2 linked regions of the Coturnix japonica genome follow. The protein of the gene in region 1 purifies or fractionates together with the protein of each later gene. This does not show direct contact. Links are inferred from orthologs where the notes say so. Each region holds a gene or a part of one and is shown in the gene's direction. Other genes may lie near its edges. The genes, in order: MOS and FKBP5.

What was found.
Region 2: the proteins of MOS (region 1) and FKBP5 purify together in Homo sapiens (affinity purification with mass spectrometry; 3 studies listed by BioGRID and IntAct, counting the BioPlex papers as one, with this or other methods). This does not show direct contact. The link is inferred for Coturnix japonica from reciprocal best matches to the Homo sapiens genes MOS and FKBP5.

What each region holds. Positions count from the first base shown.
Region 1 is NC_029517.1:100,574,395-100,582,516, reverse strand, and holds the start of MOS (proto-oncogene serine/threonine-protein kinase mos), read left to right. Parts: upstream 1-4,023; 5' UTR 4,024-7,732; coding exon 7,733-8,122.
Region 2 is NC_029541.1:451,188-458,501, reverse strand, and holds part of FKBP5 (peptidyl-prolyl cis-trans isomerase FKBP5), read left to right. Parts: intron 1-3,354; coding exon 3,355-3,511; intron 3,512-4,082; coding exon 4,083-4,173; intron 4,174-5,071; coding exon 5,072-5,155; intron 5,156-5,717; coding exon 5,718-5,903; intron 5,904-6,375; coding exon 6,376-6,615; intron 6,616-7,314. UniProt on the Homo sapiens protein: Immunophilin protein with PPIase and co-chaperone activities. Component of unligated steroid receptors heterocomplexes through interaction with heat-shock protein 90 (HSP90).

The sequences.
Region 1 (8,122 bases):
TGCTTTTGGATATTATTTAGGCAGAGTCAGTATTGGCCACTATTAAAAAATTGGTTTTTTAAACCCTGTTTTCTAGGTTTCAGATTGGTTTTTGGAGGGGGGGTGGGGAGGGCTGGCTGATTGTGCACCACTCTTTGTGCAACTTGGAAACTTCTAGCGAGGTTTGTTGGTTTTTTGTTGTTGTTTTTCTTTTTTTTTTCCTTCTTTTTGTTCTGTTTTGTTGTGTTTTTTTGTTTTTGTTTTTTTTAAAAAAAAAATTTTTTGTGTACTTGTTGCTTGTGCTTAATTTAGTAGTAAATTGTGGAATAGAGTGATTTATTGTTAATTTGGCAGTAGCGGTTTTTTAAAACCATATACTGACTGAAACATGAGCCAGAGCTGATTGCTTTATTAAGCTAATAATGAATGTTAAGAGTACATATTTTCAGGATCATTTGCCTAGTGAGCTAAACATGTATTATAGGCCAATATTTTTTAAAATAAAGCTTGGTCAACCTCTATGTTACACATATTACAAGATATAGCACTTTCAAAAGAAAAACCTAAACCTTTTAAGAAAGTTTCTTACAGGTTATGCTTTTTATTATAAAACCTTTTTATTATAATTTGTTTCAAGTGCCATTAGATGACATATATGTAGGCCTTTGGTATAATGCTTTGTGTACAAAATGGTAGACATTGTAATTTTAAACAGGTACATTTTTACAGTGTTTTCTTATCAATTTGCTATATTGCACAGAACCAGTGTGTCTTTCTTAAGGGTTTTACAATGGTTTTTACTAGGTTTACATGTTTCAAACTACACTGTCTTCTACTGCCATTTTGAATACCAGTCCAAAAAAAAAGAAAAAAAAAAAAGAAAAAAAGAAAAAAAAAAAGGAAAAAAGAAAAAGAAAAAAGAAAAAGAGTTTGTCCTCACTCACCAATTGTAAATTGTGTCCTCTGGAGTTCTGGGTGGTAACTATTGCAAAAATATTTAACACGCAGTATTTGATGCAGATTTTTTTAACATATGCTCTCAACGCTATGCTGCTGTCTGAAGTTAACTAAGGGCCTGATCCTGCATCCGTAAATGTCAAGGGGAGCAGGGCTGCATCCTTCGTTATGTCTGTCTCATACACTGGTTTAGCAGCTCATCCTATATTCTTCTCAGTCTATAGATAAGCCTCCGAAATAAATGTACTTACCTGGTATGTAGTAAACTGTATAGACTTTGCTGCCCATTCTGCATCTTCCCAGTGTACAATTAAAACCATAGGCATTAGCATTACACTCAGCATACAAACAATGCCACAGTGGTTCAAAAATGTGTTTGGATTGTCCCAAAGCTTTATGTAATAAGGGTGTCTTACTTTGTTGGAAGGCAGTGTCTTTTGATAACAGTTATCTAGCCCTGGAAGTGACACAGAACTATTGCTAATCATATGTAAACACTTTTCAGTATAAGCTTCAGTGGTACAGTTGAACCAGAGTGAATGTTTATCTCCTCAGAAACACTCCTGCAATATTGTTATATTGGATCATGCTGCTAATGTAACTTGGGATACAACTCCTCTCATGGTGCTACAAACCTCCCTGTCTCATTCAGATGTATTTTTACCCATAGAAAAAAAGGACTATACTAGACCTATAGTTGTATGATATATTTTTATACTGTGACTTAATTTGTCATTAATGAACTTTGTACAACACCACAATGTATTCATATGCACTTGCAGAATTAAAATGTTGGACATGCAAATTTAAACGCTGACAAGCCCAGCTCTTATTCACATAAAAAAAAGATAAAAAAAATAGATGATTTAGTTACAATTAAACGTGGGCTTTTTATATGGTGTGGAGTGAAGAACATACTATATATTACTAAAAGCTTCTGAATTTAGACAAAAACTGGGAAAGAGTATATTGGGGAATGATGACACACCCAAACCTGGCTTGGATTGCTGAAATTCTATTTTATAGATAGTGGGAAAATCGTTTGGACTCGAATGCTAAAATGTTTGAATGATCAAATTTTTGAGTCAAAAACAGAGGGAAAAAAAAAAAAAAAAAAAAAAAAAGAACACAGAAAACCCTGCATTCCAGACAGAATTTGTGTATGTTTCTTGCATTTAAAATTTGCTATCCTGTGATATGGGAAATTGAGTTGCTTATCATGTATATGTACTTTAAAATGTATTCACAAACTACTGTTGTATTTGTATAAAATATAGACAAAAAGATTGCGTATATATTTTTGTGTATAAGCTCTGTAAAATAGCAATCACATTATGAAGCTGCAGCAGAACTTCATTTTAAACATTCACATCCAAAGAAACAGACTATTTATTGTCCACATACCCTGATTATAAAATATACCTTGCTGCTATTAAACAATAGTGCTGCAGCTTCTTGTGGCCTACAGTGTTATGTTTGCTGTACAAAAATATGTGAACTCCACAAAATATATCAATAAAATTACAGAATGGTTTTAGTTAATGAATAACTTATGCCTGGCATTTCAATAGATAATCTCGGTCTGCATGCTTGGGATTGCAAGGAGTGATTTTACATACATCCAGTTTTCCTGGGTGTAGTTATTCTGATTTTGCAAAGGTGTAACTGTGTTCCTGACTGATGACTGGTAAAATGTCAGTTTTGCAGCAAATCTAATGAGCAGAAGTTTCTGCCTTTCATGATTTTACCAAGGAACAGACTGGATGATGCTACTGTGTCTGTGACAAGACAGATTCTAATAGAAGCAAGCAGTCGCATTTGCCATCAAGCTGCCCTTTTGAGAAGCTGGAAGGTGAGTTTGGGGGTCTCGTGGGAGAAATGGGTGAGCGATTCTCTCCATCACTTCAGATGAATGCAAGTGATTTATTTTTGTTGTCATAGATCGTAGGATAAACTGTGAGACTGTGGCATGTGTTCCAGGCACAGTGTGTGGGTTGCCTCTCTTGACACGCTTCCAGGAGAAACTTCACTGTTTTGATACCACACACCTCCTGTCTGCCTGTGACACTGCTGTGGAAGCCTCGCTAACAAGTCTGACTAATGCACTGAGTGAAGAAGTACCATGAAACCAGCAGCCTACCCACAGTTGCAGAAAGCTGCAGAAGAAAGTGCTCTTTTTCCATGTAGCCATTTTCCTAGCATGAATTGTTTGCCAGGAAAGGAAAAGAATTAGCGTTTGCTGTTAAGCTGCTTCAAATTTGCATTTCCTTGCTCTTCAAAATGTATATTACTAATGCCCTGCTCTTCCAATTCTTTAATTTTTAGATTTTCTCCTGTTCACCAGTCTGAAAGAGAGGATCTTTCCAGAGTCACTAACTGTGTCATACAGACACTTTTGCTTTCTTGCGACTCCCAGCTGTCGCCTCTGAACTGACTTGTCACTTCTGTGTCACAGGTTTCTAACTGACTTGAGAGAGTTGGCCATGGTAAGAGTCAACAGCTCTACAGATGGAGGAAGAGGCGGTACCTGTCTTCAACTGCTTCTTGTCCAGATTTGCTTGAAAGGTGTAGAAGAAAGGAATGGAAGAAAAAGATCTGTTATACTTTCTCCCTTTGCTTTCCCTTCTTTCCTTCCATTTAATAAGTGTACCCTAACATACAGAATGTTTGGGGTTTTTTTTTGACAGAGAAATCTAAACCTGTGCCCCTGAGCTCCTGTTAATCACAATTTCTGATTAATCTGAAATCAGTATATTGCCTAAACTTTTGTGTATATATATCATCGTATCATAGTATCACAGTCTCGTGCGGGTTGGAAGGGACCTTAGAGATCATCGAGTCCAACCCCCGGGATTCGAGCCTCTGTGTAGCAGAGCGGCACTTCTACCACTTGCGCCACAGGGGATTCGAACCTGGGCTCCGGTGTCGCAACGCGGCATTCCAACCACTGCGCCACCGGGGCACACTAACTATATATATATATAATTATATATACTATATATATATACAAATATATATACTATATATATATACAAAAGAGTGTGTGTGTGGTGTGTGTGTGTGTGTGTGTACATGTGTGCATGCATGGGGAAACTTTCCAAAGTTGAGAAATACATTTTGTTTCACTTCAAAAAATGTAAGCATGGAACTTCAGCATTTTTCAAGTCCAAAGTGAATCACGCTATTGGTAAAGGTATCTCCCACTTAACACAGTGCTTGGTTTCCCAGACACATTGGAAGAGTTTCTTCCAATTCCTCGATTTATCTACGAGAGGCAGCAGCTTATCTACAGGGTGCACAGCCTCCTGTGGGGAAGGTGTTTTTCAGCTACCCCTGTGTAGCATTAGATAGATATTCAGTAGAAGAGTCCTTGTTGGCAGAGCCTTTGAATTTAAGCTCACCTCTGGCTTATTGCCTTTTTATTAAATGATTGCACATGTGGTCATGGGTACATCCTTAAGTTTCTCTCGCAAGTACTTACACTGAAAGTGAAAATAAAGTATAGATGCTGTACAACTAAGGGGACATAAGATAAAGGAGCAACCTTTAAACTGTAACGTAGGAGCAGGAGTTATCTAACACTGAGGACAAGTAAGCATAGACTAACTTGCCAAACTCACTGAATTCTGTCCTGCTGCAGCCTAGCGATCATTACGATCATGGAGCTGGGTGTTATCAGTGGTCAGGGGTTTTGTGGGATGCTGGGATCACTGATCCTTCCACACATCACCTGCAACAGCAAGGGTTCAGTCCCAAGCATCAGCATTACATCTGCTGTGCCTGGGAAATCATCTATCACCTAGTGGTTGCGTAGCACTAATGCTGTCCCGTTGGCCCTTTGCTGTGGCTGATTCACGTTGCTCATTAAGCACAGAAGCCGTTTTCTATTCCCTGACCTACAACTCTCAAATTCCACCAATGCTCTTTGTTATCACCCCACAACCCAGCAAAGCTGTTTGTTAGCTGCGCTACAGGGGCAGGACTGCAAAAACACTCTTGGCCAATGTGGCTGGAAGCACTGCATGATGTGCCTGCCTTATACAGCAGTAATCCCACAGGGAGAGGCACCCATCTCTGTGTCACCTGAAAGTGTTCTGCGGTCCAGAGTTTCACCTTTATCATCCTCACACCTAAATTTAGACCATTTCGTCTCAAGGGTGCTCTTCTGCAACTGTGATATTAACCCACAGCACCAGGTTCCAAGTTGTAATCACTGGTCCAATTGTGTTCATAGTGAATGGGCCATGAGACCCCCCCCTGCTTTCCTCCAGCTGCCTCCAGGTAACACCTCAGAGCATTGCAGCAGGGAGAGCCTCTGCTTGCTGCTCTGAAACACAGTAACCTTTTGGGGATGAAAATAAAAAAATATGGAGCGACTGTTTGGCAGTGTGTGTTTGAAACTTGATCTTATTATTTATAAACCAGGATTTAACCTTTTAAAATGTTTATTATTATGGCTCTTTTCTAAAGAAGGGCTGTAAGATCGCATTGCAACTCCCGTGGATGCGCTTGTTCTTGGCATTAAGGTTTACCTCTCAGCGCTTTAATGAAAACTTGTCTACATTTGCTACTACAAGGTGTCATTTGCAAAGCAACCATAACTCCAAAATACAAACTATTCACTTCTGGCTCGTCCTTGCAGTTAAAATAAACAGTCGTCTGTGGCCCATCCTCAGAGCAGGCTGTGTGTATGGACTGGCTTCAAATGATGATGTCGCTTACGCCTGCACAATTGATTTTATCAGAACTGCTTTCATGCAACTCAGAATACCGTTAAGAGGTCTATGAAGTGTGACTGGAAGCAACACTTGCACTGTGAAATGAGGATAGAAGTGAGAAGGAACGTCAGTTTGTCATCAAACCCCAAAGTGAGATCACAGAGACTGACAGCAAGCGGAAAAAAAGCTTTGATTTAGAAAGGGTAAAGAAAACTCAGAAGTCACAAAGGTACAGGCTAAGGAGCCATGTTGTTTTCAGAGCAGAATAAGTACTTAGGAGATAAATGCAGGAATTTAATAGAAACAGTGCTACCTTAATACTGGAAAGCACTTCTTAGAAGACACTGAACACACAGGCCTAAAAGGGGTGTGTTTTTCACTGAGCAGATGCACAAATAAATAAACTAATGGTTGTGGAGAAGAATTTAACCATATGCTTTAAGAACAAAGGGGACAGACACTTTAGCAGGAACTGTTGTGATAGCACAGAGGGAAATGATTTCAGGCAGAATGAAAAGAGATTTAGACTGGATATAAGTGAAAAGTTTGTTACGATAAGGGTGGTGAGGCACTGGAATATGTTGCCCAGAGAGGTGGTGGGTGCCCCATCCCTGAAGATGTTTGCAGGACAGGCTCTGTTTTGCAAGTCTATGAACAGTGGTAGTAGCTAACAGCACTGGCAGATGGAGTTCCTGGAGTACAGATGAGATGCCCATGGGTGATGCTGTGCTCCTCAGCTTGAAGCACAGCTGAGGCTGGGAAGCTACTGCAGCATCAGACGTACATTTTACTGTAAAAGTGTTTCATAGAAGCCTGGAACATCAGGATCCTGCCACAAGTTATTGGCACTGCCACATGCTGCAGCCCTCAGGACACAGGCTGCATGCTTTGCTGTTTTTACTTCTAAAAGTTCTTATTACGTGCTTGCTCTTAATGACACTTGCAGCAGCCAGAGCTCAAGACATGCTGAAGTTCCCTGCCGGTAAGCACTGGTTCACACAGCTTCCTTTTTCCTTATATTGCTGTGGGAATAGCAGCGACATGGGAACAGCAGAGCTGAAGGCCTTCCTGGGTGCCCAGTGTGGGCTCTCCTGGGGAAGGCACTGGGATGAGTGGGGCTGCCAGCCCAGCACCCTGCTTCTGAGCAGGGACAGTGGAGCTGAATGTAGCTGGGAGGTGTGGCAAGGACGTCCTGCAGTGGTTGTTTCTCAAGGGAAGCAGCTGTCATTTCCATCTCCAGTATAGATGGATTTACTTATTGCAGCTTTCTGTTATCATCACAGCTCACCTACTGAGAATGCACTTCTTCTGAAGATTTTAAGTGGAGCCACCACACAGGTATACAACCCCAGCACTGCTGCAACCTGTTGTCTGTACTGGTTGCTTTGCAGCATATTTAAAACTGCAGAGAGGTTCCTTGTTGGTGTCCTCCACTGCCCCCAGATGTCCCAGCATAGCTGATGTCAGAGCAGGACCCTGCCCCTATGAGACCTCTCTCCAACCTCTACCTTGATAGCAACTCCTACCACACATTAACACCTATTTATCTAAATCTCCCCTAGCCAATCTGTTTCACATCACTGGGTGATAATCCAGGTTTCCCATTCTCATTCTTCTGTTGACACCTCCTCCTGTCAAACACAAGTTGCAGGTCCCTTTAAACTCACTTTTACATTTAGTTATGCCTGCCATAGGCCTATCAAATGTTAGTGGTTACTACTCAGCTGTGTCCTCTGAGAATGACCCCAGGTTCTCTAATGCATCTGACAATTATCATTTTCCTACAACCCCAGCAAAATGCACTCACTTTATTTACTACCAGGGCATTTTGCTAGAGATATTCATTGAGCAAAGTATCTTTCTTATCTCCTGTGATTAAAAATCATGCAAAATACACACACACTAATCTGTTTTAGTTTTAAATCCATAGACCTTTACCTTCTGGAGATTTACATAAGGGTGGAAGAAGAATGTTCTCAGATGAACCTGATTATGGGGTTAGCTCATTGAGACAGATGCAGATCATTAGGGGGTAGGAGGGGAAAATTGTGCAGAGAGAATAAAAGAGCCTTTGGAAAATGCCACAAGGAAGCCTTCCAGTCTCTTGTCCTCCTAACTGTTTCTGGCATCTTATTATGCCATCACCTATTCCTTTTAATAGCTTTCTTCCTTTAGAGCTCTCCCCATCTGCAGACTTGAGACCTTGCAGCAGCCCTGTAGTTATCCCTGGCAAAGATGGAAAAGCCTTCCTAGGAGGGACCCCCTCACCCAGGACACGCCGCCTGCCCCCACGTTTGGCTTGGTGCTCCATTGACTGGGACCGACTCTGCCTTCTGCAGCCCTTGGGATCTGGAGGCTTTGGGGCTGTCTACAAGGCCACCTACCATGGTGTGACTGTGGCTGTGAAGCAGGTGAAGAAGAGCAGCAAAAACCGTCTGGCATCCCGACAGAGCTTCTGGGCTGAGCTG
Region 2 (7,314 bases), on another chromosome or scaffold:
GTTTCTGCAGTCCCTGTGGGGTCTTGGGGTCAGCCCTTTCCTCTCTGTTTGCCCCTCCCTTGTCTCTGAGTGGCTCCAGGATGTTGTTATATCCAGGACTGGTGTGGTGGATGCTGAAAGTTGGATTTGCTGTGATTTGGATTTCAGCCTGTAGCGCTGGATTTGCTGAGGTTTTCACTTGGTGTGCAGCTTGCTGGGTGCTTGGGACGCATCTTTTTGTCCAGACGAGGAGGCAGCAGCCCCTCTGGTCTCCTTGTTGTGGTGCTTATTGCTGTTTTGGTGGTTTCCATTGCATCTGCTGCAGCACGGGCCCTTTTCCTTCCCACATGACCGGAGGAAAGCTTCAAACTTCTGGTTGCAGCTGTTGGGGGATGAATTAACTCAAAAGGGGTCTGTGGAGTCAGTGTGATCTTAAGTGCATGGCAGCTCATCCTATCCAGCTCCTCGCTCCCTGTCTGTGAGTGGGACAGAGTGATTCTGGTCATGTTTATGGAGCAAATGTCTTACCAAGGCGGGGACAGCCAAGCTTTTTTTTCTCCTCCTGAGAACAACTCAGCCATAGAAGTAGAGCTAACATGCCATCTGCATAAGGCATCTAGTTTCTTATCCCCATTCCAGAGCTCCTGTTCGTTCAAGAGAGTCCAATTAACTTCCATTAGCGAAGGTGAAATTAGATCTGAACTCATAAAACTCACTGTCTGTTCCTCTCACAGACTTTTTTAAGGAGATGTTGTCTCCTGCTGATCTATCTGCCTGTCACATGGCTAGACACTGCTGGGGGTAGGATTTCAGGCTGCCTTCCCTGTCTCTGAGGTTAACCTGAGAAACAAGCTGAACAGAATGACAACCAATCCCATTCCCTCCTGCCTCTTTAACGCTGTTTTTTATTTCATTCAAAATGGGGTTGAGGGGTGAGCCCATGTGCCTGGGGAGCAGGGCAGAGCCATGCTTTCCCCTTTGCTCAGATGCAGTGACAGCGTGGTTGCTCAGAGCAGGATGGAGATAGGCTGGGGAAAATACTGTGAGCATCTGCTGCTCTGAAAGGACACAGCAACCGGAGCTCTCTGTGGAGCTGTGTTTCTGGGTGCTCTGCACCTTGAAGCTGACTTGTTCCTGTTTCAAGTAGATGCTCGGTTCCAAGCAAACACGGAGAACAGGAGCAGACAAACAGTCAGGGTAATAGAGATGAATGCCCTTGGAGGCAGCGCTGCATAACAGCGCTGCTCAGAGCAGGAGCACTGCGCCAAGGTGGCTGCAGGTTCTTCGCACCAACCTGCAGCCTGGGGCCAGAGACCATAAATACATCCCAATGAGAAAAGATGCAAAGCAGCAGTGAGCCAGCCTGGCAGCCTTGCAGGTTTTGGGTGCAGAGAGGCTTTTTATTTTCCAAATGCACTGCTGTTTACCTTGGAGTGCTTTGCTTGGGGCTTGTTTGCAGGGGAGCCCAGCAGCAGAGATGGGACCCCATGGAGCGGCCTTAGTTTATGGGGGTGCACAGGCACCTCTGTGTCTTTCACTCCACTCCCCAACAAACCCTGCATCAGGGATAGCTCCCAGGTGCCCAAAACCTCTGTTAGAAGCCTGCTGGGGAAACATGTGCACTAGCCAGGGTGAGCACCTCCAGTCTGGAGTTTCATAAGCAGTTCTATAGCTTTGAGTTTTACAGGCCGTAATTTGCAGTTCCGGTTCCTAAAACACGGGCTGCAGTCAAAATCCCACATTCCAGCTTTTGTTACAACCTTTCCCCACCCCCTCCCCCTCCTCTCCATTTTAATCTGAGTACAAATTGCTGTCAGCACATCAAGTTCATGTGCCAGCCGCACTCGGTACACTGTGTTCTGAGCTCTTCAAAAACAAAATCGCTGCAGGCACCGGGAGAACAATAAGTCAGCCACTGCAGCCGAAGGGATGTGCAGAGCCCGGCAGGGGCTTTGCTTTCTGTAATCCAAGAGCAACCGCAGCCAGCTGACCTGCTTCAGATAGCGCTGAAATGCTCCTGGAAACCGGAGCAGAGATTTCCCCATCTCTAGTGTGCAATTAGAATGGAAGGAAAACTCTTCTGCTTCTCTTGAAGCGAGGGCTGGGAGCTCGTGTTCTTCTGGGCATCCTGTTGTTGAGGAGGGCTTGTGGGATCAGCTTGTCCTGCTGCTGACAGGTGACCCAGGGATCCGCAGGGCCAGGGATGGTGGGCGCAGAAAGCACAGAGACAGCAAGGAGCCATGAGGTTGGTGGGCTGCTTGTGCTTTAGGCTGAATGTTCCGTTTTCCCAAGGTGCTCAGCAGGGTTTAGCCCTGGAACAGCAGGTGGGTTTTCCATCATGCAGACCAGCTGCACAAAGCAGAGTACTGTCCTTGGCAGCGCATCAATGAGTGGCCAAACCATCCCTGCTTAGAAAAGGGGTTAATTTTTTTCTCTCGTCTCTCCCTGCTTTAGCAGCATTTATATTGGCAATAAAAACCCTTCTGGCTTCTCAGCAGCATGCACTCAAGAAACTCATATCCATCCATCCATGCTGTTGGGTTCTGCTGCAGCATCCTTAAACACTTTTGGCAGCATTAATGCCTAACCATGATTTTTTTTTCCTACCATTTGAAGGCTCTGGGGGAGTTTTCCTGCAGTAGGTAGGAGCATCTTGTGGGATCACTTTTACTTGGCTTGCTTTGAGTGCAGGGAACACCCACTGTCCCCTGAATGCACACCATCCTCAGGACTGAATAAATAAGGAAAGAACTCAGGGTGGAAATCATCCTAGAAGCACCAGGTGGCAAATTTGCCATGTCTGCTGTCCACCCTGCCGAGCCCCTGCCAGCTCCATGGGCTGGAACAGCATATTGCTTGAAGATGGAAAGACTGAACCTTTGTCTTGTACTTTCAGTTTAGCAGAGGCAGGAGAACATGGCCTTGTTTTTGAGGTGTAAGGCGAGTGTATAGTGCTGTATAGGAGATCTGTAATCACCACGGTGAACTCTGCATGGCAGTGTGCCAGGGGCAGTATCCAGTTCCAGTAAGGCTGACTTGTGCAGTGCAGCACAAGGGGAACATATTAGTCATAATGTTTATCTGTTGTCTGGTCCTTGCTGGGATGAGATACGGCTGCACTGCTTTTTAGCAATGCTGTCCAAGCCCTCCCACCCCTCTCTGCTCACTGTCTCCTCTGGTGCTTCCAGGGCTCTGGCTCAGCTGGGGGGACGTGGGGGGGATTTGGGGGTCTTGTGGTGGATGTGGTCGCTGAATGGAATTGCCCCAGCTCTGCTTCCACTTCCTTAAGTGTCACCTATGTGCAGAATCCTTTGGAAAATGATTTATGGGAGCCACACGGTGCTGACTGCCCGTGGTCTTCACTCTGTCCCACAGTTCACCTGGAGGGGTTCTGTGGTGGAACCCGCTTTGACTGCAAGGATGTGAAGTTTGTGGTGGGCGAAGGGGAGGACCACGACATCCCTATTGGCATTGACAAAGCACTGGAGAAGATGCAGAGGGGAGAGCACTGCATCCTCTACCTGGGGCCACGGTAAGGGATCCTGTGCTCATACTGCTTGGAGCAGGGTTGAAACTTCCAACATTGGAGGCCATTAGAGCATTTGTGAAAATGCAGATGTGCCAACAGAACTTCTGTTGGATATGTTAGTGTCACCAGCAGGGACTGCCAGAGGAGTGAGTGGGAGGCAGGGACTTGAAAGGATCTTTATCCAGCTGTCGGGGCTCAGGAAATCACCATTCCTTGTCCTGGCACATGTTGAAAGCAGTGTAAAGCCAGGTCTGGTGCACCTGTGTGCATCTGGAGATGCACGTGTTGTACTGCATTGTATGCTGCGACATGTCTTTGCTTCTGGAGAATAACAGTGCTCCAACCCAGCAGTATTAGCATGGAGCCAGTTGTGAGAACAGTGAGCAACTTGGGTGAGTGCTTGCTAAAATGAAGATATATAGGGGATTTAGCTTTTCCTGCTTTTTAAAGATGCTGGTTGATGAAGGGGGTTATTTAGGAGGAGAATGGTAGAGTTAGCAGAGGAAGGATGGGGTTTGGAGGAGGCTGTGGGTGCCTCTGACCCCCACCTGAGCTGCTCTCTTCCTCCCTGCAGATACGGCTTCGGCGAGGCAGGGAAACCCAAGTATGGCATTCAGGCAAACGCTGAGCTGGTGTACGAAGTCACACTGAAAAGCTTTGAGAAGGTGAGGGCAGGAAGGGCAGGACCCCCCCACAATCACCCTTTGTCCCTGGTGTTGCTGCTCTGCGGGCCCTGCTGAAGTGGAGACGTCAGCAAGTATCGCCGTGTTCTTAATTTGTTCTTGTGTGTTGGTTTGTTTCATTTTTCTGGCCCAGCTCCAAGGCTGTTTTTTTTATTTGTTCCTAACCTTGTTCCTTTTGTACTTTTTGTTTTGTTTTGTTTTCTATCTCCTTGGACTGCACAGAAAAAAATAATAATTAAGTTTTGTGTCCTGATGAGGGAGGGTTGGGGTTAGTGCTGGAGGGGCTGGGGATGAGAACAGAGAGTGGGGACAGCACAGGTGCTGCTGGGTCCCTAACCTTGGCTGGAGCAGGGATGGTGCCAAAAACCTCTGCCTGCCCTATACTTAGGAGAGATCTTCCCATCTTTGTAATTTTGTTTTTTCAGTTAAAGAAAAAACCTTTTGGGGGTTTGTTTTATGCTGGAATTTTTCATTCTGTGGGGTTGCAGTGGGTGTATGGCAGTGGACAAGCCGTGCTGTATTGCTGGGCTCAGAGTACGTTTCATCCCTGCAGTGGTTTCTCTGTACCACAGGCGTGCGCTTTGCATTGCTCCATGAATGTTTCCTATTCCCTATTTTCTCCAGTCCCTCAAATTCAGCCCTCTGTCCTGCATAAGACCACCCTGCTGAGCCCCACTATTAAAGAGAAATCCTCCAAAGCCTCCTGGGGCTGCCTGGATTGCGGCATCCCATTAATTTTGCTCTTCTTACCACTTCCTAAGTGTGTGTGCATGAAGGTGGGACTGGTGTTTGGAGTTGCAGGATGTGTTGAGTCAGCACTGCTCCCACTGTGCAACCGTTGCTACGCCATGGGATGGTGGCTCTGAGTATTTCTTTGCAGGCCAAAGAGTCTTGGGAGATGGACACCAAAGAGAAGCTGGAGCAGGCTGCCATCGTCAAGGAGAAGGGGACAATGTACTTCAAGGTTTGTGACACCTGAGGCAGGAGCAGGTAGCTGCGCTGCTGGGCACTTGGAGCAAGTTCACCTCACTGGGTCTTCAAGGGGTCAAAATGTCAGAAATTTCCCTTCCCAAAAAGTGCCAGTCCTTTGCCAGTTCCTCTCCCTATGTAACAAATATACTCCATAGGAAGTGCAGCTTTACTGGGGCCATGCAGCCTCATCCACTTCTGCCAGCCCAGCTGCTCACTGTCCTCAGCAGATCCACTGTCTTTCTGAGTCTGAAGTATAATCATAGAACCATGGAATAATTGGGTTGGAAGATACCTTAAAGATCATAAAACTTTAAAATGGTTCAGTCAGAAGGGCCCTCACAGCCCCCCAAGCCCTTCCACCCTGCCAGCTCAGACTGCCCATGGCTCCATCCATGGCATGAGGCACCACCAGGGATGGGGTACCCACAGATCTGGGCAGATGTGCCAGAGCCTCTCTGCCCCCTGGATAAAGAACTCTGCCCTAACACTGAGTGTAAACCTCCCCTCCTTTAGTTTTAAGCCCTTCCCTGTGTCCTGTCTTTGCTCCTTCTCAGGAAGGCAAATACCTGCAGGCGGTGATTCAGTATGGGAAGATCGTGTCCTGGCTGGAGATGGAGTATGGCTTGTCGGAGAAGGAATCGAAAGCCTCCGATTCCTTCCTGCTGGCTGCCTTCCTCAACCTGGCCATGTGCTACTTGAAGCTGCGCGAGTACACCAAAGCTGTTGAGTGCTGTGATAAGGTATGGAAGCATGACTTTTGTTTCAGTCTTCCTTCCCTGTTCAGTTTGTCTTTGCACAAGCAGCGGTTTCCTAAGGGCACTGTGTTGGTCGCATTAAGGACACTTATTTTATAAAAGGCTCAAATCTAGAATTGTTTGGGTGGAAAGGGACCTTTGAAGGCCATCTGGTCCTACTCCCTGCAGTGCACAGTGACACCCACAGCTCCATCAGGTGCTCAGAGCCCTGTCCAGCCTGACTTTGGGTGTCTTCAGAGTGAGGCGTCCACCGAAGTTTAAGAACCTTGCCTCTGGTTCTTTGTTGCGTGAGGCTTGCTGCCTTAACCCAAACTGATGTTATGAATGAGATGAATCTGGGGCTCTCAGGAGGCTTTCACTGTAAGGAAATAACATGAAGCTGGGACAAAAGCCCACTGTATCCATAGCAAATAAGCTTCTGAGGGTTGCTGAGCTATGGAGAACTCTGTGCTTGCAGGCACTGGGGCTGGACCAGGACAACGAGAAGGGCTTGTACCGGCGGGGCGAAGCCCGGCTGCTGATGAACGAGTTTGAGCTGGCAAAATGTGACTTTCAAAAGGTGCTGGAAGTGAATCCACAGAACAAAGCAGCCAGGTCGCAGATCTCCATTTGCCAGAAGAAGACAAAGGAGCACAATGAACGGGACAGGAGGATCTACGCCAACATGTTTGCCAAGTTTGCTGAGAGGGATGCAAAGGTTTGTTGTGCATGCCTGGGGGGTCAGGTTTGGGATGCTCAGCAGGGTGATGGGGCTGAAAAACAGCAAGTGGAGGCTGGGACAAGGATGGAGGTGTGGGTGGCAGCTATAGGTCATGCATAGGTTCATAGAATTTTACTATCGCCAAGGTTGGATAAGACCTACAAGATCATCCAGTCCAACCATCTTCCTTCCACCAATATTTCCCACTAAACCATGTCCCTCAGTACAACATCTAAATGTTTCTTGAACACTTCCAGGGTCAGTGACTCCACCACCTCACTGGGCAGCTGTTTTCAGCACCTGACCACTTTGTTGGAGAGGTGTTTCCTAACATCCAACCTGAATCTCGCCTGGCACAACTTTAGGCCATGAGGGTCTTATATGGGCTGCAGCTATAGGTCTACATGGGCTGTTGCTGTAGTTCATTTATGGGCGGCAGCTGTAGGGATGGATAGACTGCAGCTTTAGGCTGTGTGTGGGCTGACAGAGCAGCATGGGATGGAGCCCCTTGGTTCTTGGTCTGTCGCATGCAGAAGCTGCTGTCAGGTGCTTGGTTGTCGATCACAGTGTTTAGGATGTGGACTCACAACAGCTGATGACAGATTTGGTGTTTGTGCTCCAGGTTCTGTCCCGTCCCGCGGCAGTTGATGAATTGGGTAAAGCGAAATGTCAGCCACTCGCTGGCAGGGCTGGGGG